Diceros bicornis minor: one gene and its partners. The protein of the gene in region 2 purifies or fractionates together with the protein of the main gene of each other region. This does not show direct contact. Links are inferred from orthologs where the notes say so. Each region holds a gene or a part of one and is shown on either strand. Other genes may lie near its edges. The genes, in order: CCT4, PPP2R2C, PPP2R1B and IER5.

Region 1 (7,448 bases), on a different chromosome or scaffold from region 2:
CTTTTGTTGTTAAACTCACTATACGTAATACTTGTGTTCCGCCTATGGCAGAATAAATTTTAAGGATTTACCTAATCTTCCTTTAAACATCAAAATGGTACAATCTAGTTATGTGCTAATTGAGGACTATTTTTTTCTCCATTCCTTAAAACAAAACAAGCAGACCTCCTAACATACTATATAATTCACTTATTTGTTTACTCTCTGTCTCCTCTAACTACAGAGCATAATTTCTGAGGGTAAAGACTTTTGTTTGCTATTGTGAAGCTAGAATATGGATAGCCCAAGTAAAAAAATACCCTTTGACCCCAGAACAAAAACCCAAGCCCCACCAAAAAAAAAAAACACCCCAAACAAACAAAAGACCCAAACCTTAACTAAAAAACAAAAACTAAAATCATAGCTTTTGGTCATCATTAGTACGTTATGAAACATCTCTGGATATACAGTCTACCATTCCAAAGTTACTTATTCTTATTACTTGTCCATGAGAATATTTCTATTTTATTAATCCATTTGTTTTCTTAGAGAAATTGGAATTGACGAACAGTACTTGATCCCCTTGTCTTTGACAAATCCAGGACAAATGATTAAATCTTCCCCTTTCGCACATACCATCTCACCCCATCTACAGAGGCCTGAGATTGTGCCCCAGTTTTGTATACTCCACAACTACCACAATGCTTCCCTCCATATTGTGTGAACAATAATACACAATCTTAAAGAGCTTAAGAGAAAATACCTGGTATAATTTAAAAATTATTTTCTACTTAATTATTTCATAATTTGGGGCTTCTGTTCCTAATTATCAAGTCAATTTTACCCTTTCAAGCGATTTTAGTTGACCTCCATGACGATTATCCTATAAACAGACCGATTCATTTTAGAATGCCCTTCTATTCATCTATGTGAAGACTCTAGAATAACACACTATTCAAAAAATAAGATTTCAGACAGCTTACATCTCTGAAGGTGTCTGAAGTTTAGCATACTGTGTGGATGACTCATGCTGAAGAGTACTAGAACTACTACTACTTTCATGTGTGTGGTCTTTCAAAGCATCAACCAATGGGATTATCTTTTTGGTAACATAAAAAAAAAAAACCTGGCTCCCCAAATTAAACTAAACATGCACCTGGCAGCAGCTTTTCTCAATTTGTAGGGTTTTGTCCGACTTGGAAAGACTAGTCGTGCCCCTTTGCTCTATGAGTTCCCCTCACTTAAGATATAGAGCCAAGTTCCTAGACAATTTAGGTGACATTTCGTTCCTACATGCATACCTCTCTTGCCCAGTCTCAATTCTCTGTGCACTGCTGTTTCAAAGGTTACTACAGTAAACCTCCTATTCTGTATCTTCCTTCTTCGTTGACAATCTACTGTATTATCTAGCTCTTCTGACCCTCCACGCGCCCCAGAATTTATCTGACATCTAATGTAATCAATCTAAGCTTCAATTACACTCCCTAGACAACTATCTACCAAATTTTATTTCCAGGTATACATTCTCTCCTGAACTTTCAAATGACTCCTAAATCTACCCATCTGGTCACTCAGACCTCTCCAACTCATTCGGCCCAAACCACAACCTCTTCTCTCTTCTTCCAGCATCCTTCCTCCAGTGTACCTACTTCTTTTAGCATCACCATCACGCGCGCAGTGACTTGGGCCGATGGCCTCAAATACCTGTAAGGCTGTACTTTATATCCGTGGCTCTTTATGTGCTTTCTTCTTTAATCCTCACAGCAAGCGTACAGGTTAGCTCTTACCTCATTACGACGAAGAACAGCTGTAGTGCAGGAGCTACGCCAAACCCTTTCCAGGACACCAGGCCCTTCAAGATTTGGCCCCATTCCACCTTTCCAATCTCACCTCTCATTTCTTCGTGCACTTTATTCTCTCACCGAAAGAAATACTCACTGTACTCAAGACACACCACGGGCAAGATCTCTAAGCCTTTGTTCTCACTTTTCCTTCCAGACTCTTCTATCTCAACCAGACTTCTCTTAATCCTCACAACTCTAAGAGAAGCGAACATTTTCCTCCTCAATTTTACACATAACGAAAGCTTGGCTAGAGATTAAAGGTCACAAAAGCCACGAAATAATGTAAATAGAATGCAACTCAGGTCGTCTTAATTTCCACCAAGAGCCGAACACTGTTCTTCAAAAAAGGTAAACTGTCCCTATGTCTCGATTTGCTGGTGTTCGGTTGCACACGCAGAGAGGACACAAAAGCACAGTGTAGCTTTTTATAATTATTCTCAAACGAGTTGGGTAAGTCGGTTCCCCACACCCCGGTACAACGGGCCCCGCCACAATTGAAGCGCGGAGAGTTTACCAGATTCGCTTCAATAGCTGCGCCGAGAAAAGCTTACTTAAATGATATTTTTGTAAGAAGAAAACTGGAAAGTACTGTGCAAACAACATTCTACTAGTGGACCTAGTCAGCAGATAAGCGACAGCTCTTAAGTGTCAGATCCCAAGGGACCGCCGCACGCGGGCCTCGGCCGCTTTCTGCTGAAGTGTGATAAATGGTGCACAACCCAGGATGGAAAATGATGGCCGTCTAAGACCCAGACTGGGGCAAGTCCAAAGGCCTCCATACTTGGGGTCTGGAATTCTCCGCAAAAAACAGAAAGAAGGGTCCCTTCACAGAGCTGCTTCTACGGGAGGACAAGAAGGGATCACCTAGAACAGAAAATGAGCCGTGCGGAGCGCGACCCCGCAGGGCCGCGGGGAAAGCCCGGGAGGCGATACCTTTGGCCGCGGAGATGTTGCTGAAGCGGATCTGGGCCGGCTTATCGCGGTCCTGATAGGCGCTTTTCCCGCGGCCGCCGGCAGTCCCGGCGGGCGCCCCGCTTCGGGGTGCCACGTTCTCGGGCATGGCAAGCTTTGCGGGGTCTGCGCGGACCCAGGAAGGACGGATGGACTCGGATTCCGGCTCGGCGCAGACTAACAGTGGGCGTCCCCCACCTTCACGAATCTTCCAGAAAACGGAGCCGGCGCCGGGAGGAGGAGGTTGAGAAAGGGGCCTGCCTGGCGGCGCGGCGCCGGCATGACGTCACAGGCTGCCCCCTGCGCGCCGGGTGAAGCGACTGCGTCGGGGAGCTCGGGACTCGCAGGGGATGTTGCGCAGGGCGCAGGGGGTCGGGGGCGCGGTGGGGCTGACTCACACGAGGCAGAAAGGACAACCCGCGATTGTAAAGGCAGGAGTTGGGACACCCACATCTCCCCACCCCACTCCCTGGCCATGAGGTCCCTTCCGTTAAGTCAAGCTAGACCTGTCCGCGAGGTGGTGTCCGTACCCAGATTGCTCCCGAATGGTTGGGGCTGAGCCGGTTTTTGTGGGGCTGCATAGAGCTGTTTTTAATTCACTTTTATTCATTGTGAAAGGGGGGTCGAAAGAGAGATTTGGGAGGGCTGGCTGCTTTCCTTTGCTTTAAGGGTTGGCGTTGGTTGTCTCGTATTGATTAATACTGGGTAGTAGAGATTTAAATATACACTGGTTGAATACCACAGTCTTAAAAGTTTTGCAGCTATGATTGCCTGCCAAATCGGGACTGTCTGGTTAGTACAGCTTCCTCGTTTTACACTAGTTTGTTCTACCTAACGTAGCCATTGACTCTTAGGAAACCTAAGTATTTTAATAAACGATCATTTAGTTCAGTTATGCGCTAGGCGCAGTGCTAAACCCTTTACACGTTTTATCTCAATTCTCACAACAAGCCTATGAAACAGTTGCCTTTATATTTTTTTAGTAGATAAAGGAGCCGCAGCAGAAAGAGAACTGAAGCCCAATGTACCAGTAAGTAGATGGAAGCAGTATTCCAGTACAGAGCAATGACTTCAGAGGTCATGAGCTAAACTGCTGGGCTCTTATTACCACTGTATTTTAATATGGAAGTTTATGCAGGTGAGGTTCATTCAGTATTCATTCACAAATAATTATTAAGCACCCATAAAGTAACAGATGCCTGGATAGGTACAGGAACAGTTGTTCCAAGTACTTAATCCTGTGATCCTGAGGAGCGTTTATAGCATTCAGTGTATTAGCGCTAGAAGATGAGGCTTCCTAGGTGCTCTGCCATCCGTAAGCCTCTGGGACTGACTTCAAAGGACCAGATTACTTCTATCTTGGCCTATGAACATTCTATAGTTATTTAAGACAACCGATGTGGTATGATGGTGTTTTGAGAGGTTTGGTGGATTTGATTGGAGGCGTAAAGGAACTTTTCAACACAGACGAGTGGACTGAGTGTATACTTTAGTATATAGGGAAGAGTAAAGGTAAAGGCAGCAAACAGATTATATAGGGAAGGGTAAGGACAAAGGCAGCAAACAGATCCGAATAGGTCAAATAATAAGAGGGAAAAACATCAGGTCGATCGAAAAGGGAAACATCAGATCGACCGAGATAGAAACAGATCCGAATAGGTCAAATAACAAGATCCGATTGATCGAAAAGGGAAACATCAGACCGACCGAGGGGAAATAACATCAGATTAATTGAAAAGAGAAGCATCAGATCGGGTACTTAACAACATCTACGCCGCGTGGGGGAGAGTCCCTTGAATTGACACGGCTTGGCGGGAGTTCTGATCAACAGTGGTCCTGGGCAAGGCGTCCCCCCCACAGGCGAGATTCTCGCCCAAGCAGAATTGTGAGTTGCTTTTATGCATGTTTTCATTTAGAGACCATCTCTATGGGAACATTTGGTTTTTTGTTTTTTGTTTTTTTTCTTTTTTTTGCTGTTATGAGGTGTGTATGTGCACTGCAACTCCTGGTACTTATCCCTGACCGACACAGATGGCCAGTCTGTGTCTGTCCTTGACATCCCAGGAGTTTTATAACCTAAATAGTTGTAGCTAGTATTGTGGGAGAAAGGCCGGTTTCCATCACAAGCAGCTGCTCTGTATTTTTTAGTGTGGCTGGTTTCCTAGGGTCACCAAGCGGACAAACATGGCAACACTTATGTTGTCATCTTGGCCGTGGCCACTTGGTTATCCGTAAGAAACCAGCCGCATGGACAGTGAACTTTATACACAGCTACACATAAAACATCCTGTGATTACAAGGTCGATGCATAAGACAAATAGAAAGCAATCAGAACAAATAGATCCCATATGCCAGGGTAACCACTTAAACAATTTTTTGGAATAAGAAATGTTATCAATTTGATTTTGTAAGTCATTGATTATAGAATTTAAAGTAGAGGTTTTATTAGTAACATTAAAGCAACATATTTTTGGTATTTGAATACATGAAAATTTATGTAATAGGAAAAGGTAATCTAGCGCTGCTGGCTGCTTGTTGAATCAATGTTTCCCTTTATAACTCTTGTAATTTTTTTAGAAATAGTAAATAAAGCTCTAACAGTGTCATTCATAATATGAGTGAGTAAACAGGACAGATGTTTAATTTGTTTGTGATTATTTACAATTAATTTTGGATCGAGTAACAACAGGGTAGCTAATATTGTCACTGTGGATATTGGTAATAAGTTGACATGTGGATCATAATCTGGAGTTAAAGTTTTCTTATATCGAACTCTTTCTTTGGGATATGTAGCAAGCAGGGGTATTATTACTCCTACTCCACAAGTCATTGAAGTATTTTTTGGAACATATCAATAGACTTGATCACCGCATAGCCAAAATAGTTTTGTAGGAAAAGTTACAGATGTGGCGCAAGGGGTTACAGTATGATTACAATAGGTAGGGATATAAGTGCAATTAAGGGAATAACAAGTGGTACTGGTAGTACTAGAAATAGGAATTGAGGATAGGGAGAATGAAGTACTGGCGTTAACAGATGAAGTAAAAGTATGGCTATGGGGTAGACCTAATCCTAGCAAGTTAGCTTGGAGTAAACTGGGAGGATCATTATTATTGCGCAAGCAGAAAGAGGTAACATTAAGAACATTGTTAGCCAAATGAAGCCAAATATTAGAGTTACCTAGAGTGTTGGTGGCATTTGGTAAAATGCTGAGAAAAGCAGTATTGTTTATATATGGAGAGTTAGGTTTCCCTTTTTTTTTACTCAATGTATGAATAAAATCTTCCACTTCATAAAGTGGAAGCAGGTAAAAGGATGGAATAATTTGTATTTTGTCTGTGTGACTGGTCAGAAATGTTATGATATGACGAGGTGAAAATCAGCCTTTGTGACCAAATAGTCTGTTTATTTAATGTCCAAGTTACAGGTCCAACTGGCGTGAAGCAGTCTGTCTAGCACTGCAACAGCAGTGGTTGTCCAACCATGACGTTCAATGGCATAGCAGTCCGAAGAAAACAGGAGGTGCTCATTGTGGCAGCAATCAGCAAGCTGATTAACAGTACCTATTCACATAAAGAAACAGCATTTTTAGGAACATGATATAGATTATTGTTTTTGGGGTATATAACAATTAGGGTGGCTGTGGTTCTTTGTGCTATGATTTTGGCCGCTTGGGAAGCAGTATGCGGAGGGTGTGTAACTCAAACTGGCTCTAGGTTTTCAACCATATGTTGAGTTGAAGCCTTGTAATTTTTGGGGGGGGATAAAATTGAGGGAGGGCTCCCCCTTTTTATTTGTGGTGTTATTAGGGGAAGGATAAGTAGTTGTCCAATTTTGTCTTCTTTTTGTAACCTAGTTAAAGGTGTGTCATTAGGTCCTATAGGCCTATTGTTTAAAATATGCAAAGCAGCGTTTAAATGTGCATACCAGTTTTGTAAAGAATTTTTACTTAATTTGTGTAGCTGTTGTTTTAACAATTTATTTATTTTTTTAATTAGACCAGCAGTTTGGGGTTAGTAAGGAATATGATATATCCATTTAATATAATTTTTTTTTGGCATAGGTTTGTATTCACTTACCTGTAAAGTGGGAACCGTTGTCACTCTGAATTTGTCTTGGTGTTTTATAGTACAACTTAATTGTATTTAATAATTTTATGGCACTCTGCTGGGTGTCTGCTTTAGTCGGCATAGCTAATAAATAGCCGGAATATGTGTCAACAGCAGTGTAGACGTAAATATAGCCACAAGAATTTGGCAATGGTCCAATAAAATCTATTTGTCATGTATGGGTGGGAAATAATCCCTTTTGGATATGACCTTGGTAGGGGTGTGGAACTCCCCATTTAACTATTGGCATATTGACATTGTTGTACTGCAGTGGCAATATTATCATGGGTGATAAGGATTCTCCTTTGTTGTGCCCACCTGTATGAAGCTTGTTCTCCCAAGTGTCCACTCTTTTCATGGATCCATTGTGTTAAGTCTGGGTTGTGTGTTGCACGAATTTGCACCAGCTGATCAGCATAAGAGTTATATTTTTGTTCTGTAGAAATTAAAGAACTGTGAGCATCAACATGAAATACAGTAATAATTGTGTTTTGGCACCATAATTATATGTTTTTTTATAATTTTTTTAGTGAGACATAATGTTTATTTTTATAATGAATTTATA
Region 2 (7,766 bases):
ACTATCCTCAGCTGATTGGATCAAGTGGTAGACACACCCCTCTAGAAGCAGCCAATCACCAGGCTGCCCAGAGAGCTGAGCCAATCACGTTTCTCTCCCAGGAATCTGGGGTGGGAATGTGGGCGGTAGTGGGGGTGAGTTCAGCAAGTGTAAGGATTCCCAGGGGTTGCAGGGCAGGCAGGGGAGGCCAGGAGAAACACGTATAATCCTATAGAGCAGGGAATGGCAATTACAGCGATGCTTGTTAAGAATTCAGATTCCTTGGCCCTGCCATCAGGAAGTCTGGGTGAGGCCTGGGAATCTGTGTTTTAAACAAGTCCCTGAGTGCATCTGCTACCTGCGGTTTGCGGGTCACACTGTGACAAACCCCAAGGGCAAAGGATGCAGAGGGTGGTCAGAGGGGAGGGTGGAGCCTGGGGAGCAGACCAGGGGTGGCTGCCTTGGGTCCACTTCAGGGGGCCAGAGCCAGCTAAGGATGTCACTGTCTCAGGAGCCCCTAGAGGATCGCAGGGCACCCTCACCACAAAGTCCCCATCCAGTGTGGCCTCAGAGAGCTTTCTAGAAAACCGGCCAGTAGGTGCCAGGCACTCAGCTCACTAGCTTGGAGCAGACGGACCTGGAGCGCCCTTCCTGTCTTTCATTTGAGTCTGTTTGATGAAAGCTGTGTTTTTACCTCCCCCTGAAGCCTTCTCTGGTTTCAGGGGTCTGGGGGTATCTCTCAGGAAGCAGTTTAGAATGAGGAGCCAGCCTCATGTCACCATCTAAACCTGAAATGTGTCCCTCAGGTGCCCTAATTAAACAGAGGGCCCCAGCTCTGCACCTCTGCACCACTAGCACACCGGCAGGAGATGGACACACCTGCTTAGAATTGGGCTTCTGAGCCTCAGGACCACTGTCGGTGGAGCCCAAAGGCAGGAGCCCGCTAGCAGCCTCACGGAGCTAATGACACTGCATGTAAGCTGTAATTACACCAGCTCCGGAGCCAGCGCAGGGTGCCGGGAGCAGGCGGGCGTGCTTGTTCACGCAGGGCCTAATGATGCGTCCCATGTTCTACAAACCTCGGTGCATGATTTAATAAACCCTCTGCTCCGGGGGCGCTCTAGACACCCATTACGAAGGAGGAGACCCCAACCCGACTCGGGGCGCAGCAGCAGTGACTGAATAATTGGGGGTGTGCACTAGAAGGAGATTCAGTACTGGGAGAGGAGAGAGTTCATGCGCCAGCTACTGGGGTCTGGGGTTTGAGTTTGGATTTAGATGGAAGATAAAATATCAAAAGGATAATGGGGGGGCATGCCGGGGGACAGGTACTGTGTGGTGCAGTGGCAGGAATGTGCCAAGCATGTGACGGAAGGGGCCATTGAGGGGGCCATTCTGGCTGGTGTGTGGGCGGGGCCTGGTTGAGCATAAGGCAGCATGGCATATCAGAGTCAGACAGATGAGAACGAAGCCCACTCTGCCACTTACCACCAAGTCTGGGCAAGTCACCCTTTTTCAGAAACACTTATGCAGGATCAAAGTCCTTCACATACACTGATCATTTGATCCTCACAACAGCCCTGTAGAGTTGGGACTATTATTACTCTCATTTTAATGCTGAGGCAACTGAGGGTCAGAGAGGGCAAGTAAGACACCCATAGTCACAGAGCCAGGAAGCGGTGGGGCCGGGATTCCAGCCCAGGCTATCTGTGCCTACCTCCAGCACCAGTGTGAATATTAGCGCTGATGGTGTGATGCTCCCGGCACAGGGCCTGGCACACAGCAAGGAGGATCCCCTTTCAACCTTCCTCCCATCATTCCTCATGCGTGCCCTGCTCCACACAAATTATGGTTCTCCCTAAACCAACCACGCTCTTGTAAGTTTTCAAATTTGTGTCTCTTCTCCACCTGGAGTTTTTAACAGTCCTCTATCCCAGTGGCTCTGCCACTTACCTTGGGTACTTAATATTCATGGTGCCTCAGTTTCTTCATCTGGGAAATGGGGAACAATCAAGGGGCTGTTTAGGGGATTAAATGAGTTAATAGTTGAAAATGACTTAGATCAGTGCCTGCCAAACAGTAAGCACTATTTAAGTATCTGTTAAATATAATGCAAGTCGCTGATTCTCTTCTTTCCCTTAGTCCTTCCTGCTGGTAGGGTTGGGGGTGGCAGGCCCTTCCTATAGCAGACTGGGGAGACCAGACTTGGGGTTGGGCCACACACACCAGCCCAGCTCAGTGAAGGAGCTCTCGGGGGTCCAGGCCAATAATAAATCAATAAGGACCATGGCAGCCAGCGCTGACGAGCACCTACGTGCCAGGCCCCGTCTGGGTGCACTACTCACCTGCTGTACCTCCTTTAAGCCCCACTGCACCCTATGAAGTAAGTGTTAAATGAACTCCCCCATTTTACAGATCAGGAAACTGAGGTGTAGGGGGTTTAGGTGACTTTTCCAATGTCACACATTTGTGACTCAGCAAGGGGTGTGCTCACAAGGATGAGGGTGCCCACCACAGCCGTCTACTTTGGACAGTGCCATGAGGACCATGGCAGACGATGGTCTGAGCTGCTGTGTGCTGGGGAGATGGGTTCAATCACAGACACATTATTTTGGGGAACAGAGACAAACCAAGTGCATTCTGAGCAGAGCACTCGGGCAGAAGGGATCCCAAACCCCATTCCAAAAGCACCCTTAAGGAAATGTGGGATGTTTAACCAGGAGAAAACAAGACTCAAGGAAGACAAGGCTTGTTGTCCTCAGCTCTCTGGTGGGTTCTTGTGGCTAAGAGGGAGCTGACTTGGTCTGTGTGGCACCAGAGGCAAAACCAGTCTGGTGGGTGGGAACTCAGGGAGGTAACTCAGCTCAGCTTATGGATGAACCTACCAGTCAAAGCTGAAGGTAGAATGTAGGGAGGTGGTGAGCTCCCTGTCACTGGAGGTGTGCAAAGAGAAGGTGCAGGTTCCCTTGTAGGAAATGCTGTGGAGGGAAACAGAAGCATCATTCAGGCGTCAGGTTTCCTCTGGCCCTGAGGTTCTAGGAGCGGGTGTGCAACCTGAGCGTAAGCTCCTCAGAGCAGGTTCCACTCCCAGCTCCGCCTCTCCCAGGCCCCGTGCCCAGTGCCGAGCGCACAGAAGGAGCCGGGTAAATCTTCACTGGATGAGGTCGTAAAAAAGCTACCTTGGATAAAAGATCAGTTTTAATGACATCATCATAATAAAAAACACATTCTCCTAACGACTTCAGAAGCTGATAATTATCTGCCAGTCAAAAGCAGCGAGGAGGAGGCGACGGGTCGGAACGGAATATTTACTTACAAACAACGTGCCCGGCATCGCACTAAATGTTGTCATTGCTCATCTTCCTGACCCCTCAAAATAACCTACCCGGTAGGTGGTGGTGGCCCACTTTACAGGTAAGGAAGATGAGGCCCAGGGGCCACCTGCCTACTGTGACAGTGACTGGCACCTTTGCACCTTCGTTGATACGCCCCCAGGCACACAGCAGGCGCTCCTTAGATGCCGCTGTGTGCTTGAACAAAAATGAAGGAACGCCCAAGGAGCACAAGCCTCCAGCATGATCAGGACTCGATCAGGACTCGAGCGACCTGGGAGCTTCAAAGGTAGCACCTAGTGCTTCTGTGCACGTGGCACTTAACAATTGTGGGTCTTCTCTTCCGCATCTGACAGCACCCTCATTTAAAGCTCTACGTTGGAAAGTTGGGCCAAGTACCAAAGATGATTCCAACAGTCACAGCCCCTGCCTGTGGGACTGACACACAATCATTTCTTAAAGATTTCCTGCTATTTCTCCCAGAGAATAAACAGGGAACACACATACATACACTCACACACATACACACTCCATTAGCTTAAGCTGAACCCCCCGTTTATTCAGCCACTTGGGCTCCACGCCAGGGCCTTCTGACATGAGGACCTGCCCAATTTTGTCACTGATGAAGCACCATGGGTGACGCAGAACAATCCATCTCAGCCGTAACTGAATGTGCCCGGGAGATGCTGCGGCGTGTGCGTCCGGTAGGCCGCGAGTATCTGTCTTGGTGTGGTCATCAGAGCCAGGACCTGACCTCACTGGGTGGGGAGACCCTGGCTGCCTTCTGACCCATGCAAGCGCACGAGCCTTCTTTCCAGTCACGACAGCAGGAGCTGATTCAGGTCTCCACTGTGGCTGGTGCACGACCCACATGTTTATATTTACACACCCCAACAATCCTCTTGTCAGCAAGGGGAGAAACTGAGGCCCTGAGAAGTGAGCAACTGGCCCGAGATCACAACTAGCAAGTGGGCAGAGCTGGGTTCCCACCCAGCACCGGCCAGCTCCCAACACACCACCATCCCTGAAGCCCCTGCTCACGCCCTCCTCTTCCTCCTGGGGGTTTCCTCTTCCTCCACCCTGGGCCCAACACTGCTTCCTTAGGCTCCCTGCATCAGATCAGAGAATCCTCACTCGCAGCTCTGCGGTCAGTGCTATGTTGCCAGTCAATGGCCAGAAACAGATCAGTGAGCCCCAAATCTATAGAACTATGCTCTGGACAACAATACAAATTGTGTGTGTGCTTGTGTGTGCATGCATGGCTGTGTAGCAAGGGTTTTAACAGATAAATAAATATTCAAAGAAACAAAATACTGCCTAGCATTTCTGCTCCGGGCTAGATCTAGACCTGGCTTGAGCTGGTTAAGTTACTCAGCTGGAGGCAGGGCAGGCTGAAGATTTATTCAGGAGAGCTCTGCATGATTTTCTACCCGTATGAAAAGAGCTAGTTATCCAAAGACCTGAGCTACGTGTGCGAGTGCTCTGTCCGTGTGCACAGTGGGAATTCTGGTGGAAATTAACATGAGCCTTCCCATATGCAGGGGGCTGTGTTCTCCACGGGGGTGAGGGCAGGCAGACAGAAAGCAGGAGGCCGTGCGGGAGCACCAGGCAAAAGCAGCAATCCCTTTTGTCTTCAAGGAAGGCACAGGCATTAATATCGACCCGTCACTTGGGAAACACTTTACAGTTTACACAGAGAGCCAGTATCCGCCTCTCATTTCACCAGTTCCTAGAGCCTTGCAAGATGGGCAGGTGGGGAAGCCGAGCTCAGAGAAGCAAGAGGGAAGGGAAGGGAACTCTTGGTGAGCTCCTAATGAGTCCCCGAGGCCCTGTGCTGGGTGTTACCTAAAACGAGGCACTGCGGTGTGGAGGGAAGAACAGGGAGTGGAGACCCCAGTGGAAACTGCTACTCCTTCACGCCTTCCTGGCTGCGCAACCTCAGGCCAGTCACCTCACCCCTCTGAGCCTCAGGGGCCTCATCTGAAAGCACCTCTCTCCCAGGGCTGTTTGTAGATGCTCAGTACGTGCTCTTCACTTCCTTAGCAGTCCGCTCCCCTTGACACTGAGCTAAGGGTCACTCTCCCAGTGGTCGCAGGAACCATGTCACTCGTACTGATGGGACGGGGTGGTGACAGCAATGGATGCAGGTATCTGGGGGGACAGGACCATGGAATGCCAGGACAATGGGCAGAGCCCTGTCCTCTCGCAGAGTTGGTAGATCACAGCCCTGCTCCCTTCGTCCACATGGTCGAGGACTGGCCGAGTTGCCCTCGCTCAGAGGTGAACATCCCAGGCGCCTTCCAACAGGCCCAAACTGGCCAGTGCCAGCGGGCCACCATTACAGCCTGATGGGGGCTCAGAGCCCCTCTAAAACCACCAATGACACGTCTCAAGGTCAGATTTAAACTTCCAGCTGTTTAAATCCATTTGCATTTGGCAGACGCCCAGTATCTTACTTTAAAGGCAAATTTGTGCCTGCTTTACTGTTTTCTGCTTAAAAAAAAATACAACTCGATATGCTTGCCCAGCCCGAGGCTCACGTGTCTGGGCCACGGTGACAGTGACACTTGGGAGAACACCTTTATACCCCGAATCCTGTGCAGAGGCCAGGCAGCTGCCAAGGGCTTTGAAGAGTTTTAGACACACAGTGGGGCACCTGAAGGTCATCCAGTCCAACCCTCTTTCCACAGCCCCCCAAGCAGACCTCCAGCCAAGACTCTCAGACCTCCCATGATGGGGAACTCACTACCTCCTTGCACAACCCATTCCAGTTGAAGGTAGCAGTGGTGGTGGGAACATCCTTCCTCCAGGTCTTCCCCCTACTGGGTCTGCCAGCTGGGCCCACACAGAGCGTCCAGCTCCTGTATCCACAGGACAAGTGATAAGGACCCCAGGTCCCATTTTTGTTCCAATCCCTGCTTGTCACACTGGGTCTTTCTATTTGGATTTCTCACCAGCAGTTTAGACACATGTCTAGGACTGAGCCCACCACTTTCCGAAACAACCCCACTCCTCCACCACCTCTGCCAGCAGCCCAGCCTTCAAGCTGGAGTCAGCTCCACACCCGCTCCCACCCCTCTCAGGACGTACACTGACAAGGAGACTGCAATCCTTAGGCTACCTGTGCGCCCAGGCCTGGGCTCGGTGCTCATACGACAGCCCCACAGCAGGGAGTTTCCCCCATTTCATGGATGAGAAAACTGAAGTTCAGAGAGGTCATACAACTTGACAAAGCCACACAGCTACCAAGAATGGGAGCCAGCACTCAAATCCAGGTCTGATTCCACTGCCCAGCGAAAATGCCACAGGCAATCCAGCAGTGCAGTCCCTTCTGTCATCTTGATGTCCCTTGTCATGCTCCTCTGGGACCCCCCAACCTCTGCGCAGCTTAGCACTCACCACTGTCTTACCCACCCCAACCCCCTCCAGCCTGAGCTTTCCCAGACCAGCTGCTATCTCCAGGACGCAGCGGGAGGAGCCCTGGCTGAGCCAGCACCTGGTCCAGGCTTCTCTCTTGCCATGCTCCCTCCCCTCCCCCACCTTTGCTCCAGTCACCCTGACCCACTGCCCGGGCCCGGGCTGCCACTACGCCCTCTGACTACACAGACGCCAAGAGGCAGAGCTGGACTCTGAATCCAGATCCTTCTGTTTCTCAAGATTTTGGCTCCCACCACTGAACCACACTGTCACCAGCCCACAGGATGGCTGAGACCATTTGACAGGGTTGGGGGAGTGGAGAAGACACTTCTTCCAGACTCTTGCTGTGTCCTTCCACGGGAAGGCACGCTCCTGTGTACATTCTTGGCCTCTCCCCTTCTTGAGCGGGAGTGTGGCTGGCTCTGGTGCATCTGGAAGGAGGGGTGGGCATGAGGAGCCCAGCCCCTCCTCTCCCCTTCCTCCTGGGAGTCAGTGCCCACTGGGAGCCTGCTCTATTCTGCTGCTGCACACCTGCCAGAGTCCAGAGATGGGGGTTACACCAGACAAATTCTGAAGTTAAGTATTAGGAAGCCCATTTGGCCAACACATCTAAGCCAGGTCCTCCAGTGTCCACAACATGGTGCTAGAAGGTGCTACTCTGCCTCTCCATGCTGCCTCCTTTGGCCAACACCTCCATGGGGCCAGACTCTGGGCTCCGGGCACCCTGTGAGGACACCATAAAGGATGAGCAGGGGGAGGGAGAAGTGAAAAGGGACGAGGGTGAAGTGGTGGTGGTGATGCTGCTTCAGAGAAAACAAGAAGCAGCTAGAGCTCCCAGGTGCACAGACCAGACTTGCACGTGGCCGCTCCTCTGGGTTACACTAATCAACGGCGTAGCCCTTCCCCCGGTTTCACTGCCTGCTGACCCAGGCTCTGGGCCTCGGGAAGCTTCTGATAAGAAGCACCACCGTTCCTGGGGCTCCCGGCGCCCCTCCCTCCCTGTGGCCTCCGTTTGGCCCTCCCGGATAGCACCCACCC
Region 3 (7,241 bases), on a different chromosome or scaffold from region 2:
GTGATAAGCTATGGCATGAAGGTAGGGATGAAGCAAAGAGTAGTGATAATCCCTGATTATGAGTTCCATAGCTTCTTCTGATTGACTGTGTGACTCCAGGTAAAGTCTTTTTCTCTTTGTCAAGTATTCCCAGCCATGAAAATGGGTTTAAAATTTTGCCAAAAAGCAGAGAAGAGAAAGAAAGTAAAAATATTGAGGTGAAGTTGAGGGGGGAATATTTGAGACCCGCAGAATGAGGATATTCTTTGTATAAACATAAATTCAAAATATCATTAACACTATAATGATAATTACTAATTTGCAATGAATTAAGTGCAGACCTGGGAATCTGTTTACCAGGGTCAGCTTGCTAAATGAAGAAAGCTGGAAAATGCCTGCATGTACCTCAGGTTTTCTGTACAAGAACTGGGCCATCCACCACTTTCCTGATGGCCTTTTCAATGGGTCGGCACTGCTGGGTCTGCCCTGAGAGAACGACCTACATATAGGTCTCTCTGCTGCACTTGGCCTTCTCTCCCAGTGGGGTGACTCTGGAGCAGATCAGTCCTGGAATGAGCGCCTGTTTGTAAAGCTCTGTGGACTGTGAGGAAGAGGCAAGCTTAGTACATGTGAGGTGAGAGGTCAGAGAGCACAATGACGTCATTCAGGCTTCCTCAGGACTGACCCTCTTCTGTTGTGACATTGAGAGCTGTTAGAAACACAAGAGTTGATGGCTATCGATCCCATCTGCCTGTGCTGCTCCATATTCTTGATGCTTCATCTGACAGGACCTGGGCAAATCTAACCCTGTCTTCCCTTGATTCACTGGGTGAGTGAACTGTATGTGGGTATCAGAACTCAGTGTTGAGAATGTCACATTGTTTCCTGAGTGTTGCTTCAAATCCTCAGCATTATCTCAGCCATTCCCTCTGGTGCTCCCTGGTCATTAGTTTCTTGTGTGTGTGGGATGTGGACAGGAGACCAGAGGGCGCAATAGAGAGGAAGAGAGCATATGGAAACAGCTCAGTGACACAGTTCTGTATTTGTAGTGCCTAGCTGACTTCCAGGAATCCAGCAAAAGAGGGATCGTCTTAATCTGGCAAAAACCACAGCCAATAGGGATAGAATTGCTTATTGATAAGCAGTTGTAGCTATCATTTGCTTTTTCTGGACTGAGGTGGCTTCCAGATACTCTTTTCAGACTCTCCTTGAGCAGATGCTTGTTGATATGGTACTTATTTTTCCAGATGAACTTTTTAAATCAATGTCTTTCGAACGTCATTGCACATTAGAACCACCAGGGGTGCACGGTAAAATGTCCTGCCCCGTTCTCAGGGATTCTGATTCAGTAAATCTAGGGTGGAGGCCAGGAATGCACATTTTTCCCCCAGTTTTACTGAGAAATAATTGACATAGAGGAATCTGCATTTTTAAACAAGCAACTTATGTGATTCAGATAGTCAGTGGACCACACTCTCCAAAAGACTGTCTTACATTTTGTTCTAGTTTCCATGTGGCCCAATTTTTGAAATAGCCTCTTTCTGCTTCACTCTGTTTTAATCACTTTCTTTATTGAAGGATTTATTAGCATCTCCATGTTTACTACCTGTTTCATTCTCACATCATCACAGTAACCAGAGAGGGAACCAGAGGGGGTTAGCTCCATTTTATTGGAGATGAGGGGGTGAGAAGCAGGATTGAGGCATAGGGAGAGGTATGTCACAATGAGTCAGAGACAGAGGTGGGAATTGAAGTCCAGAATTGATGACTCTAAAACCAGGCAATTTTCTGGGGCCTATTTTCTCAGCTTGTGATTTCGTATTTAATCATAGTTATTCTTTAGGTGTCCAATTCATTGTGCTTGAGTAAGCAAAGCGTACTTGAGTTTTAAACAAAATAGCTTAGCATCAATCCATGTGCTAATTTCTGTTTAGCAGATGGAGGGTTGTCTAAGCTTAAGCTAATATCTAGATGATGGTATGTCTGGAATTGACTTAATGTGCTTCTCTCTGCATTTGCTTCCTTTATCATTTCTGAAGACTTTTTACATAAAGTATAAGGAAACAGATTTCTCCTCTCCATGCCAATAGGAACCCCCTCTGATCTACTTGTTTAGTACTGGTAAAGTACTAAATCAAAAAACCTCTCAGCCCTCTGTTTCTCAAACTTGAGTAGTATTTGGATCCATTTCTAAAGGAAAAAAAAATCTTGAAAACTCTGTCAATTAAATTTTTATTACAATGTTACTTAAATTTATAAATATAAAGTAGGAATATAATGTTCTTTTATTTATAGTTCTTATACAACTAAAAAACCAAAAAAGATTTACATATTAAATACATATGAAACCACAAAACTAATACTATGCATATTAATATAGTAATTTAACATGACAATTGATGTTTTGCTTAGACTAAATTATCCCTTGTATTGTGACTATGGTATTGCTTGTGAAAGATCAACGTCTTTTGAGTTCAACATGCCTATGCCACCAAGTGACCTCTGACATCTCAATTTTCTCACCACTTTTCTGTTAGAACTACTGCAACAGTGCAGTCCCATGATGTCTTTTTTTTTTTTTTGGTGAGGAAGATTGGCCCTGAGCTGACATCTGTTGCCAATTTTCCTCTTTTTGCTTCAGGAAGATTGTCACTGAACTAACATCTGTGCCAGTCTTCCTCTATTTTGTATGTGGGTCACTGCCACAGTATCGCTTGATGAGCAGTGGGTGGGTCTGCACCTGGGATCTGAACCCTCGAACCCCAGGCTGCCGAAGCAGAGCACATGAACTTAAACACTATGCCACCGAGCTGGCCCCCATGATGTCTTTTGGCTTTCATTTTGTGCATGAAAACACCATTTTCATTTTAAATCCACCTCTGTTCGTTTCTCATTATCCCCAAACAATAAAAGCAGAATTGAAACACACGTGCAAATGTAGGTACTGAAATCACGTGGCAATACCAGGTTATGAAGTGGTCACCCAAATAATCCAGTATATGCTTATGCAAATCTAAAAAATATTATCAAAATGAAAACAAAATTAAAACCCTAGAGAATACATCCATAGACCTAATTTGAGAAATACTGTTCAGGTCCATTCACTCCCAAACTTCCACTACTATCATATGCCCTATCTACTGTATTTACTTCCAGGAACCCTATGTTTTAAAGAAAAAGTCTCCTAAATTGCATTTATTAATAATTTTACATTTTTATTAATCAGACATAGAACTACCATTTCAAAGCTTGTGATCACCATATATAGGTATCAGTCTAAGCTGCTTATAGTCCAAAACAAACAAAAAGACAGGACATTCTAGTAATTCTCTGCTGCCCTAACAAGGGTAAATGAAAACTTTCCATTAAGTTTTTTAAGAAAGAACTCCCATACCCTCACATCCTCCCACTGCTGCCTTTCAGGACTCTTGGAGTTCTAGGGAGGCCAGTTTAGCCTTTCTTGTACAAGCAAAGTAGCCACTCCACTCAATTTGGAAGGATTAAAGCTTGTCCTAGTTTTGCTTGATTGTTGTACTTCTAGCATGCTAAAGATCTAAAAAATGGGAGGAAGAAAATACAACAGAAGGCACCATTCCAGTACCAAACTGAAAAGAAACACAAAAACAAGAGAGCAGCATGTTTTTAACAGCTTGCATGGAGAAGGCGGAAAAAATATTGACTGGGGAGTTTGGACAGCACTGTTCATTTTCTCTCACCGCCCGCGTTATTTGTCTTATGCAGCAGGAGCCAGATACAATTCTGGCGCACAGGCCGAAGGAAGAGGTGGAGGGGTTCTGTGGAAGCCTGAGGCTAGTGGGGAAATTAGAGCTGGAGACCCACTGGCTCAGGGCCAGGATGAAGTGAGGGGAGGCGCTAAATCTTTTTTCCTCCTAGCCTTGGGCATCCTCTTTGGTCCGCCGGAATCCTAAGAGGACACAGCACGGATCACTCAAGTAGGTCCCTGACCCCTTCAGAGCACCACGAACAGGATGAATCCTTGCCCCTGTTTCTTTTGGCTGGGGAAAGGACGCAGGGGCTCCATTCGGTTTCTTAGCCCACCCTTCTTCTGGTGTTTAGAGCTACAGCTCCCCCAAGGGGGACCGGGCGAGGGCCTTCACCAGCCCGGCAGACATCCAGGTCCTCCACCTTGGCGGAGAAGGAGCGCGGGCATTAGCTCCGCCTGCCTGGGCGCGGGGCGGGGCCTGGGCGCGGGGCGGGGCCTGGGCGCGGGGCCGGAGGCAGCAACCAGGCGGAGGAGAAAGAACATGGCGGGCGCCGCGGGCCCTGGGCTCGGCCCCGGGGCAGCGGGCGGAGATGGAGACGATTCGCTATACCCGATCGCGGTTTTAATCGACGAGCTCCGCAATGAGGACGTGCAGGTACTGGCCTCGGGTCGGGGAGCGAAGGCGGCCCAGCCAGGCGCGTGGGAGGGAGGCGGGAAGGCCGGCGCCGCGGTGGGGGTGGCCGGGGGATGGAAAGAGGCGGGCTCCGAGCTGAAAGTTGAAGGGGAGGAGGGGAGCGACCCTTGAGGGGCTGTGGTGCCTCGGCGCGACCTTCCCGGGGAGCTCTCCAGCACCCTTCCTCCCGACCTCCTGAGGCGTCTGCCCGGCGTCCCACCGGTCCAGGCGGTTGTGGGAGAACCGGCCTCCCGCCTGGGCGCCCTTCCGGGCCGTGCGGTGGGAGCGCCGCGTCGAGCGCTGGGCCGGCCGTCCTTGTCGACGAGCGGCCGCAGGGAGGGCGGCGCGGGGCCGCGAGGGGCTGAGCAGCCGGCAGCGGCGCCAAGGGGCCCTTTGAAGTGCGGGTGAATGAATGCCTTCCTCTGGGCTTGCAAACCGGCCGGGATCGTGGGGTAGAAAGAGGGTGGGGTGGCTGATGAACCTAGAGGAGTCGGTGTGGCAGCTTTGGGCGAACTTTTCTTTGAAAAGGCGGGAGTTGTATTCAACCGTTTCCTGCTTCACCACTGCCAGAGTTCCCTTTCTAAAATGTCTCACTCCCTGGATGTTGTATTCTCTTTCATTCATTTCTCTAATGGGGCCTTCAGAGTGTTTCTACTAGGACATCTTCCTAATGAAGCCGTGTTACGCTGCTCCTGACGTTCCTCATAGAATAAAATCTAAACTGAAGGTTTTCCTCATTCTTACTCGTACGCCATCTCACCTGTTGGCAACTTTTGTCTTTTGGTCTAAATCACAACTATTTCTTTACTTCGTTCTTCTTTCCACTTTCTTTTTTAAAGCTCCGTCTCAACAGTATTAAGAAGTTATCAACAATTGCTCTAGCACTTGGAGTAGAAAGGACGCGAACTGAACTGCTGCCATTCCTTACAGGTATGTGAATCTTTGTTTAAAGAAAGGCATGGGCATTTCTGTTTTCCAGTGGCTTTCAAAATTTTGAGTATTTTTTAGCATTTGTTACCCCCAGTATTATTAAGTGCTAAACTGAGCCTGATGCTTTTGGGGCAAAAGAGAACAGGACAGGGCATATTGTAATATTGTGGCCAGACATATTCAAACATTAACTGTTTAGCTAATAGTAAAGTAATTGTTGATAATGGGATTATGAATTTCTAATTCATTCTGTAAAACAGATCTAAGACGACTCTTGATTGAGAAGGAAGAAAAGACTGTTAAAGGATTGTGACAGGACCGTCGAGTTACATATTAAGTCTCTTCATGTCTCTTCCTAGTTTTATGTGAGTGTCCAGTTCTGGGCCAGCTATCCTTGTTGATGAGTATTGGGTTGTTGTCATTTCCAGATACAATTTATGATGAAGATGAGGTACTGTTAGCTCTTGCAGAGCAGCTGGGAAGTTTCACTGGCCTGGTGGGAGGTCCTGACTTTGCCCACTGTTTGCTGGTGAGTATATTCTGCCTGCCCTCCTTCTAGAACTTTTGCAGTATAAATGATACATTGTTTGGTGGTAGACACACTGCAGCATTTTTTTATGCAGATCTTTTTATGGATAGTCGCAGTGTTAGCTATTGAGAGAACAAATAATGTAGGTACTTTGGACTCAACCCTTTCTTATTTTTTCTGACTATGAATATAAGAACTTCCTCTTTTCTGCCTCTGTAGACTTATTTGTTAGTTTAGAGGTTGGGAGAAAAAGGATTTGATTGGTTTTGTTTATTTTTTTTTCTCTTGAAATTGGAAATCTTAATTCTCATCTAGCAGTGTCATGACTTTGGAAATGTTTGTTAGCTTTTTGTCTTTGATCGTAAGCATAACGTTTGCTTCTGGCTTACTTTGTGAATTTGATGAGTTCACTTCAATTTAGTTGACATTTATTGAGAGCCTACTATATCAGGCACTGAAGTTACAGTGTTAATGTTAAAGAAGACTAATGTGAATGGAATGAGGTCTCTGTCCATATTTGTCAACAAATAATTACGTACAGTGTTAGATGGAAAAATGAAAGCACATACAAGGTACTCAAGTAATGGAGAAGAGAAAGAGTTAACCTAGGGTGATCAGGGATGACCTCATGGGAGATGATGTCTGAACTAGGTTTTGAAGGATGACTAGGAATTTGGATAGTTGCAGAAGATAGGCATGTATGCTTCAGGGCTTAAATACTGTGTATATCATGCTGACTCTTGTGATTTTATCTCTACCTTTCCATGGAACTTCAGATATAGCTATAGAAAGAGAGATATAGATATCTATCTGTTGTCTCTATATATCTGCCTATGATTTTTCCACTAGGATGTCAAACAGACATTTCAAATTTAACATGCCTAAAACAGATCTCAATTTTCTCCCCAAAATTATGCCTTTCATTTAGTTGTCCCATCTCAGTAAATGGCATCACCGTCTACCCAGTTGCACAAGCCAAAACCTAGACGACATTCTTGAATCTTCCTTCCCTCATTTCCCACATCTAATCCATTAGTAACTTCTACAGATTCTATATACATTCCAAATCAGTCCACTTTCCTCCATCCCTACTATTAGCTGGCTCATCTTTCCTCTAGTCTTTCCAGGCCACATGATCTTTCCTCTAGATTACTACAGTAACTTCCTAACTAGTTGCTTTCCCCTCTTGCCTCCCACCTCACCCCTACAGTTCACTCTTCACCCAGCAGATGGATCACTCCCTGCCATGGCTCTTAGAAAATCCACATTTCTGCCTTAGCTTGTATCTTAGTTTACAAAACCTGCCTCTGTGAGCTTATCTCATATCGTGTTCCCTCTTGATAACCTCATTCCATTCACAGTGATCGTCTTTCTGTTCTTTGAATAAACCAAGCTTATTATTGCCT
Region 4 (6,696 bases), on a different chromosome or scaffold from region 2:
CTATCCACTGGAATGCAGAGGTGGACCTGACCAGCTGGGCAAATCAGTCTCACCTTCCCTCATATGTCAGATTTTTTTCAATAAGAAAGCTGAAAAATGACCTATGTTATATAGTTTAACAGAAAACGTAGTTTTAGAGAAAACAATTTTTGTGGCTGGGAACCATTTTTGTGGCTTCAAAAGTTAGCACTTAAGTTATTTAACACTAGACACCATCAGATTGGGCTGTAGAAAACCAAACTGGTCTAAATTGACTTGAGAAAAGACAGTTGTAGTAGCAGGTCTCAAGAAACTGGCAGGGCACTGATATTAGTATCTAAAAGCAGTCCCCTGATCTGGGGGGAGAAACCTTAAATGTGTTTCTCTTGATACTTAGTGAAGTCAGCAAACAATGTCCCCAGTCTGTGCATGACTGATATTAAAAACCACACCTTCAATTTTCCAGCCCAGACCATAGATCTCCCTCCTGTTTCCCTCCCAGCCCAGACAGGTGATTACACACAAGGAGGCAGTGAAGTTCCTTCAAAATATTTAATACGTGTTAGACACGTAAAGTTACATTTTTATACAAAAATCAATACAACGGAGAAAATAACTGTACAAAAACCTTGTCAGCTCCCCCAACCTTTATACAACAAAGACTGGAGTCACCATATATACAAACCCAGAAGGTCATTCCACTTAGGGCTTCTGTCTGTAAACTTTGTTTCATTAAACACTTTTTAAAAGCACTGTGTAGTAGTTCTGATCTAGAGCTTTTGAAAATATATCTCTTCTCTATAAACTCCATATTTCCAAGCTTGAACTTTCCTGTGAAGTTTATCAAGCTTTTTTTCCCTGTGGGGAAGACATGGGCCGCTAACATTCCCCTTTCCCAGAGTAATCACAGGGTACAGACGTTTCTTCAGTCAGAGAGAAAGGTGGGCAGGGAGAGAAAAGGACACAAGTCTCTACTCCAGACTAAATCCCTCTAGATTTAGGAAATCCTGGGAGGAAACGCCACTCCTGGCCCGGGTGCGGTTCTGGCTTTCATGTAAGGGGTGTGTGTAAAGTCCCTTCCTCCCCCGAGAACGAATGGGGAACTCCCCGGCCCCGGCCCTTTTAGCCGCTTCCTTCTCGGTGCTGCCGGCAGAGGAAAGTCCCTGTCGCCCCCAACCTCCTGAGCCCCGGGGCAAGGGCGACGCATTCCAGAAGGACAAAATAGTCTTAATTCAACAAGACAAACTGACACACACATACACAGACACAAAAGTTAACGATCGTCCTCTTCCAATAAGCCTCACGCCCCCGAGTCCCCGCAGGGCCGCCGAGGCCGAGGGCAGTGAGTCCGTGCTGCCCAGCAGCACCCACAGTCTCCGCACCGCGCCCGGCGCCTTCGTCTCTGCGGCGGCCTCGCAGCCGGGAGAGGCCCAGCCCTCACGTCGGAGTCGCCCGCTGCTCAACCTGCTTCCCGCACGGGGCCCCCGGGCTCAGAAGGCCACGATGGCTGTGCTCCACGGGTTCATGTCTCTCAGCACCGCCTTGTCGCAGCAGATCTGCCCGGGCTCGGCGGCTTCCGGGCCGCTCTCCTCTCCCTCGGCTTCCTCCCGGCCGCCCCCGGGGCTTTTCCGTAAGAGTCCCGAGAAGCTGGAACCGAAGATGCTAATGAGGTTGGCCACGTTACCGGTCTCCATCTCCTCCTCCTCCTCCGCCGCCGCCCCGGCCGGCTGCTCCTCCAAGTGCCGCCGGGGCTTCTTCAGCGGGCTCGCGCCGAGCGCCTGGCAGCCCGCGGGGCCGCCGCCCACCCCCGCCGCGCCGCGCTTCCTGGGGCCGACGGCGGGCGGCGCGGAGCGCTCGTCCTCGGCGGGCCGCGGCGCGCAGCGGCAGTCCACGCGGGGCGGCGCGCTCAGCGCCCCCAGCGGGTCCTCCCCTCCCGCGGGGCAGCCGCAGGGGCGGCGCGCCGCCCGGGGCCCCTCGGGACAGAGGTCCGCGACCACGGCGGGGCTCCCGGCTCCCCCGGCCGCCGCCTCGCGCGGGCCCTCCACGCGGCGCCAAGCAGCTTCCGCCTCTCCGCCCTGAAGACTGTCCCCGGCGCCCGGCGCCGCGGCCGCAGGCTCCGCGTCACCCGCCCGCGGCGCGTCCGGGACAGCGGGGCGCTCCGGCGGCGTCTCCGTCTCGGGCCAGGCGGCGCCGGCGGCCGGCGGGGGCGGCTCCCCCCAGCCCGCGGGTGGCCCGGCCGCCGGCTCCCCGGGCTGCGGCGGCGCCGGGGACCCCGCCAGGTAGAGGCCGGGGCACGGGTCGCTCAGGTAGACCTGGCGGGCGCTGCGCAGCACCAGCGAGACCAGCAGGTTCTTGTGCAGCTTGATGCCGCCGCGCTGGCCCCGCGAGTTGTAGATCTTGCCCAGGGAGATGCTGACGATGCGGTGAGCCTCCAGCTTGAACTCCATCCTGCCTCCCTCACGGGCTGGCGCGGAGGTGAGGGGCGAGCCCTGGCGCACGTTCGGAAGCTGGGAGGGGACGAGAGGCGTCCACAAGTCGGCCCGGGGGTAGACCCTCGGAACAGCAGACTAAAGAAAAACGACTCACGGTGACGCGCTCACGGCCGCCCGCGTCCCGACCACAACACACAAAAACCCAGCTTCGGATCCGGTCGCTAACTGAGGGCAGCCGCGCCGCCCCACGCCTTATATAGGCCGCTCGCCCGCCAATCGCGGAGGGCCGCCAACCGTTCCGGGCCGGCCGGCGCGCCCTCGTGCGCCTCGCGCGGCCAATCGGAGACCGAGGAGGGCCGCCAGGGCAGTTCGAACATCAGTCCCGCGGAGCAGGCTCTTAAAGGGGGCGACGGTGTGTGGGGTGGCAGGTGGGTTGGGACTTGTGGTCAGAAGGCAGGTGATGGGGAGGGAGCGTAGCCACAGTGTTGTTCGTAGTTAAATTTTGTGGCTTGTGTGCTGGCTTGCTGGAACCAAAGAGAACTAAATCATTCGAACTTTCATCCTAGTATGGTGGTGGACTTTGCTCCGGAGTAAAGTCCCCATCCTTCCCTGATCAGCCCGCTCCCCTCCCCCGCCACCATGTCCAAAGCTGCACACACCTGTAAGCTCCTGGCCAATCCTGGCTTAAACGGAGATGATGGCAAAACGCGGCAAAGGATACCGCTGGATAACAAATGGTATTACTACAAAATATTTAGCAGATATTAATTTTGGATGAATCCCTTGCCCCCTTGAGTCACACACACTCTTAGCATCTGTCAATTCTTTTTTTTTTTTTTGTGAGGAAGATCAGCCCTAAGCTAACATCCATGCTAATCCTCTTCTTTTTGCTGAGGAAGACCAGCTCTGAGCTAACATCCATTGCCAATCCTCCTCCTTTTTTCTCCCCAAAACCCCAGCAGATAGCTTATGTCATAGTTGCACATCCTTCTAGTTGCTGTTAGTGGGACATGGCCTCAGCATGGCCAGAGAAGCAGTGTGTCGGGTGTGCGCCTGGGAACCAAACCCTGGCCGCCAGTAGCAGAACGTGCGCACTTAACCGCTAAGCCACAGGCCGGCCCAGCATCTGTCAATTCTAACCCCGAAGAAAGAAAAAGGGGGTTCTAAAAGTTCCTAAGTTTTTGGCTGCTAATCTGTCTAGATACAAAGGAATTGTGTCTAGGTACAAAGTTATTGGTTCTTCACTAAAGCCAGCATCTATTTTGTTTTCTAGATTCTAGAACAAACACAGTTGTTATGCACGTTACAATGAGACGAAAAATGAATTGTGGTTCACCACAATGCTTTTTTTTTTTTCAACATGAGGCCTGACCAGTCCACCCTTGGAAAAATCTAGCCAAGTTCTAAAAATACAAATAGAGAAGTCCTGTGTTCCCATCATAATGTCATAATTTTATTTTGTGTCAAGGTAAAAATATAGGGGAAGAGTGTTCCAGAATTTTCTGGTCAGTTAATGACATCGTCCATCTACTGATCCTTAGTACATGGCATTAGGGGAGAATCACTGCAGGGTTGTCCAGAGTCCTGGACTGGGCTCCTGGAGAGTGAGTTCGAGTTAGTCTCACCTAAGCTCCACCACAGACCTGCCTGTTGACTCTGGGTGAATAACCTCAGGCACGTTAGTTTCTCCAATTCTAAAAGGGAGAAATCACATACACGTCTCCTCTGTTATGCAGAAGATAAATGAAAACTCTCAGCCACAATCTGAATCATAAAGCTAAGCATAGGTTTCTTGGAGTCCATGTGAAACAGTTGGCCTGATCCTGCACCAGGGTTTGGCCAAGTGGTGTATTTAGTTAGGAGAAATACTAGTGAAAGGTGGGCTTGGTTATGGCCAATTCACAATCAGGAGGCCTCCAAAGGATGATGGCTCAGTAACATTACCTAGGCCCGAAACTCACTGATAGTAACTGAGACACCAGTCCATGAGACCCAGAGTCCCTCCTCTCTAGGAATTTCCAGCTAGTATAAAGGAGATAAACTAACAACATGAACAATTCCAAAAGCAAGACATATATTTTGAGTAATAACATGACAAAATTTTTCTTCTATTTTCTCTTTCTTTGAGAGCTATTAGTCACTATAAAACACTGATTAAGAGCATAGGCTCTGAAGACAAGCTTCCTGAGTTGGAATCCCAACTCCACTTTTTACTTGCTGTGTGACCTTTGGAAAGTTATTTCACCTCTCTGTGCCTAGGTCTTTTTCATCTTAAAATAGAGATAATAATAGTGCCTACCTCTTAGAGTTTTTGTAAGGATAAAACAAGGTAACATATGTAAAGGTCTTAGAAGAGCCTGGCGTAATAATAATAAGCTATCCACGTATGTTAGTTATTAGAACACTTCACCCCACACATGACCTGCGGGTGGGAGGAGAGGCTGGGGAGGGAAGGAACACAGATGAGAGAAAGAACTTGTATGTGAGGAGGGCGTTGAAAAACCCTGATGTAGGATCCACAAGTTCCAAGCAGCAGGAGTGACAGAGTCCAGTATAGGGAACATCTCATTTGACAGGTGTGTCAGGCGCCTGTAGTAAGTAGAAAAGGCTGGAAACAGAGGCTGTGGCTACATGATAGTGGGTCATGTGTGTCTCATTGAGGAGATGGGGCCACAGGGAGCTACTAAAGGTTGTTGAGTAAGGGAACCACAGAATGGATTCTAGAACAGTTGGTACACTTAATTTCACTTAATTATAGAGGACCACTTAATTATAAAGCTCTTGTGAGAGTTTAGGCAAAGGGTCATGAAGGCCTGAACTAGGTGGAGGTAGCAAGAATGAAAAAACTGAGACAAAAGGAAATTTAGTGATGATCCGGGATGCCCCCACCCCTAAACAGGTCCTGGTAGAGCAGGCCTTTGGTGAAGCCTTTCCGACCCACCTGGCCTGGGCGCTTCACATCCTCCGCTGTACGAAGTACACTCCTTCATCATTGCCCTCATCACTTTCTCCTGTCATGCCAGGGCCCCTCCCAAACTGTGCTCTCATCAAACGCAGGAACCCATCAGAAATTTATAGCCAGAAGATAGTGAAAATATTTAACAAATGTGCAACACAGGCACTAACCATCAGAACAGAGTCCTGGTGGCCCTTATAGTGCCAGGGTTTATGGGGCCTCCTGCAGGAGGGGCTGGATGACCAGGAAGGGGGCCACTCAAGGGGCCTGGGGCAGAGGCTCTGCCAACCAGCGTGGAAGCATTTCAATATTTTAACAACTGGGGTGGCCATACCAGTGCATACTGAGCGATTATGCACTTGGATTCATGAATCGCTAATAATGATACTGTCTACCCGGCACTGTGCTAGTCACTGTACAGGCATGATTTATCCTCCTTATAAAGTTCAGAAAGTAGATGTCATTATCTCTGTTTACAGATGAGGAAGCTACGACTCTGAAAGGTTGAGTAATTTTCCCAAAGTCATACAGCTGTGGGTGGAGAGAGTGGGCTTCAACCGCCAACTATTTACTTGTAAAGCTTGAGTGGGCGCTCTAGGGCTAGATTACCTTGTTCCACCTCTTACTTGCTGTGTGACCTTTGGGAATTTATTTCACATTTAGGGGAAATGAGAATATCATGTCCCACTTTTGTAACATGGGCTAGTTATTTAACCCTTCTGTGCCTCGGTGATCTATTGTGCAAAAGGAGAATAAAAATACCTATAGCGATTAATACAGTCCTAGCACCATACAAGCACTTACTAAGTCTAGTTATTGTTATTGTTATTATACCAGTGCCTAGCTCAGTACCAAGCATGTAGTAGGAACACTGTTAGTCCTCATTGAATTTTGAATGCTTTTTCTACTGCCACGTGATAGGTGCCCAATAAATGTCTGCTGACTTGAAATTGAGCACGATCACTGTTATTGTCAGGATTTCCTCTAATCCTGAGACAACAAAATGGAACCTTGAGAACTCATCTCTGGAGTTCCTGGGCTCTTATGATCAGCAAGCTTCACCTCCACCTGCCAAAAAAAAAGTGGGAAGATATAGAACATATTCTTCTAAGCTTTAGAAAGCAGGAAACTGAGTTAGAACTTGCCTTCATCAATCTTTGAGATTTTTCTCAGTTAAAAACAAATTGGTAGGGCCGGCCCCGTGGCTTAGTGGTTAAGTGTGCGCGCCCCGCTACTGACGGCCCGGGTTCGGATCCCGGACGCGCACCGAGGCACCGCTTCTCCGGCCATGCTGAGGCTGCATCCCACATACAGCAACTAGAAGGATGT

Evidence for each region.
Region 1: the proteins of PPP2R2C (region 2) and CCT4 purify together in Homo sapiens (affinity purification with mass spectrometry; 3 studies listed by BioGRID and IntAct, with this or other methods). This does not show direct contact. The link is inferred for Diceros bicornis minor from reciprocal best matches to the Homo sapiens genes PPP2R2C and CCT4.
Region 3: the proteins of PPP2R2C (region 2) and PPP2R1B purify together in Homo sapiens (affinity purification with mass spectrometry; 4 studies listed by BioGRID and IntAct, counting the BioPlex papers as one, with this or other methods). This does not show direct contact. The link is inferred for Diceros bicornis minor from reciprocal best matches to the Homo sapiens genes PPP2R2C and PPP2R1B.
Region 4: the proteins of PPP2R2C (region 2) and IER5 purify together in Homo sapiens (affinity purification with mass spectrometry; 3 studies listed by BioGRID and IntAct, counting the BioPlex papers as one, with this or other methods). This does not show direct contact. The link is inferred for Diceros bicornis minor from reciprocal best matches to the Homo sapiens genes PPP2R2C and IER5.

The regions. Positions count from the first base shown.
Region 1 is NC_080751.1:25,445,754-25,453,201, reverse strand, and holds the start of CCT4 (T-complex protein 1 subunit delta), read right to left. Parts: upstream 3,011-7,448; 5' UTR 2,884-3,010; coding exon 2,757-2,883; intron 1-2,756. UniProt on the Homo sapiens protein: Component of the chaperonin-containing T-complex (TRiC), a molecular chaperone complex that assists the folding of actin, tubulin and other proteins upon ATP hydrolysis.
Region 2 is NC_080747.1:5,388,409-5,396,174, reverse strand, and holds the start of PPP2R2C (protein phosphatase 2, regulatory subunit B, gamma), read right to left. Parts: upstream 3,011-7,766; 5' UTR 2,983-3,010; coding exon 2,865-2,982; intron 1-2,864. UniProt on the Homo sapiens protein: The B regulatory subunit might modulate substrate selectivity and catalytic activity, and might also direct the localization of the catalytic enzyme to a particular subcellular compartment.
Region 3 is NC_080746.1:24,465,730-24,472,970, forward strand, and holds the start of PPP2R1B (serine/threonine-protein phosphatase 2A 65 kDa regulatory subunit A beta isoform), read left to right. Parts: upstream 1-4,226; 5' UTR 4,227-4,244; coding exon 4,245-4,358; intron 4,359-5,215; coding exon 5,216-5,306; intron 5,307-5,734; coding exon 5,735-5,835; intron 5,836-7,241. UniProt on the Homo sapiens protein: The PR65 subunit of protein phosphatase 2A serves as a scaffolding molecule to coordinate the assembly of the catalytic subunit and a variable regulatory B subunit.
Region 4 is NC_080743.1:86,109,365-86,116,060, forward strand, and holds IER5 (immediate early response gene 5 protein), read right to left. Parts: upstream 2,622-6,696; 5' UTR 2,427-2,621; coding exon 1,470-2,426; 3' UTR 517-1,469; downstream 1-516. UniProt on the Homo sapiens protein: Plays a role as a transcription factor. Mediates positive transcriptional regulation of several chaperone genes during the heat shock response in a HSF1-dependent manner. Mediates negative transcriptional regulation of CDC25B expression.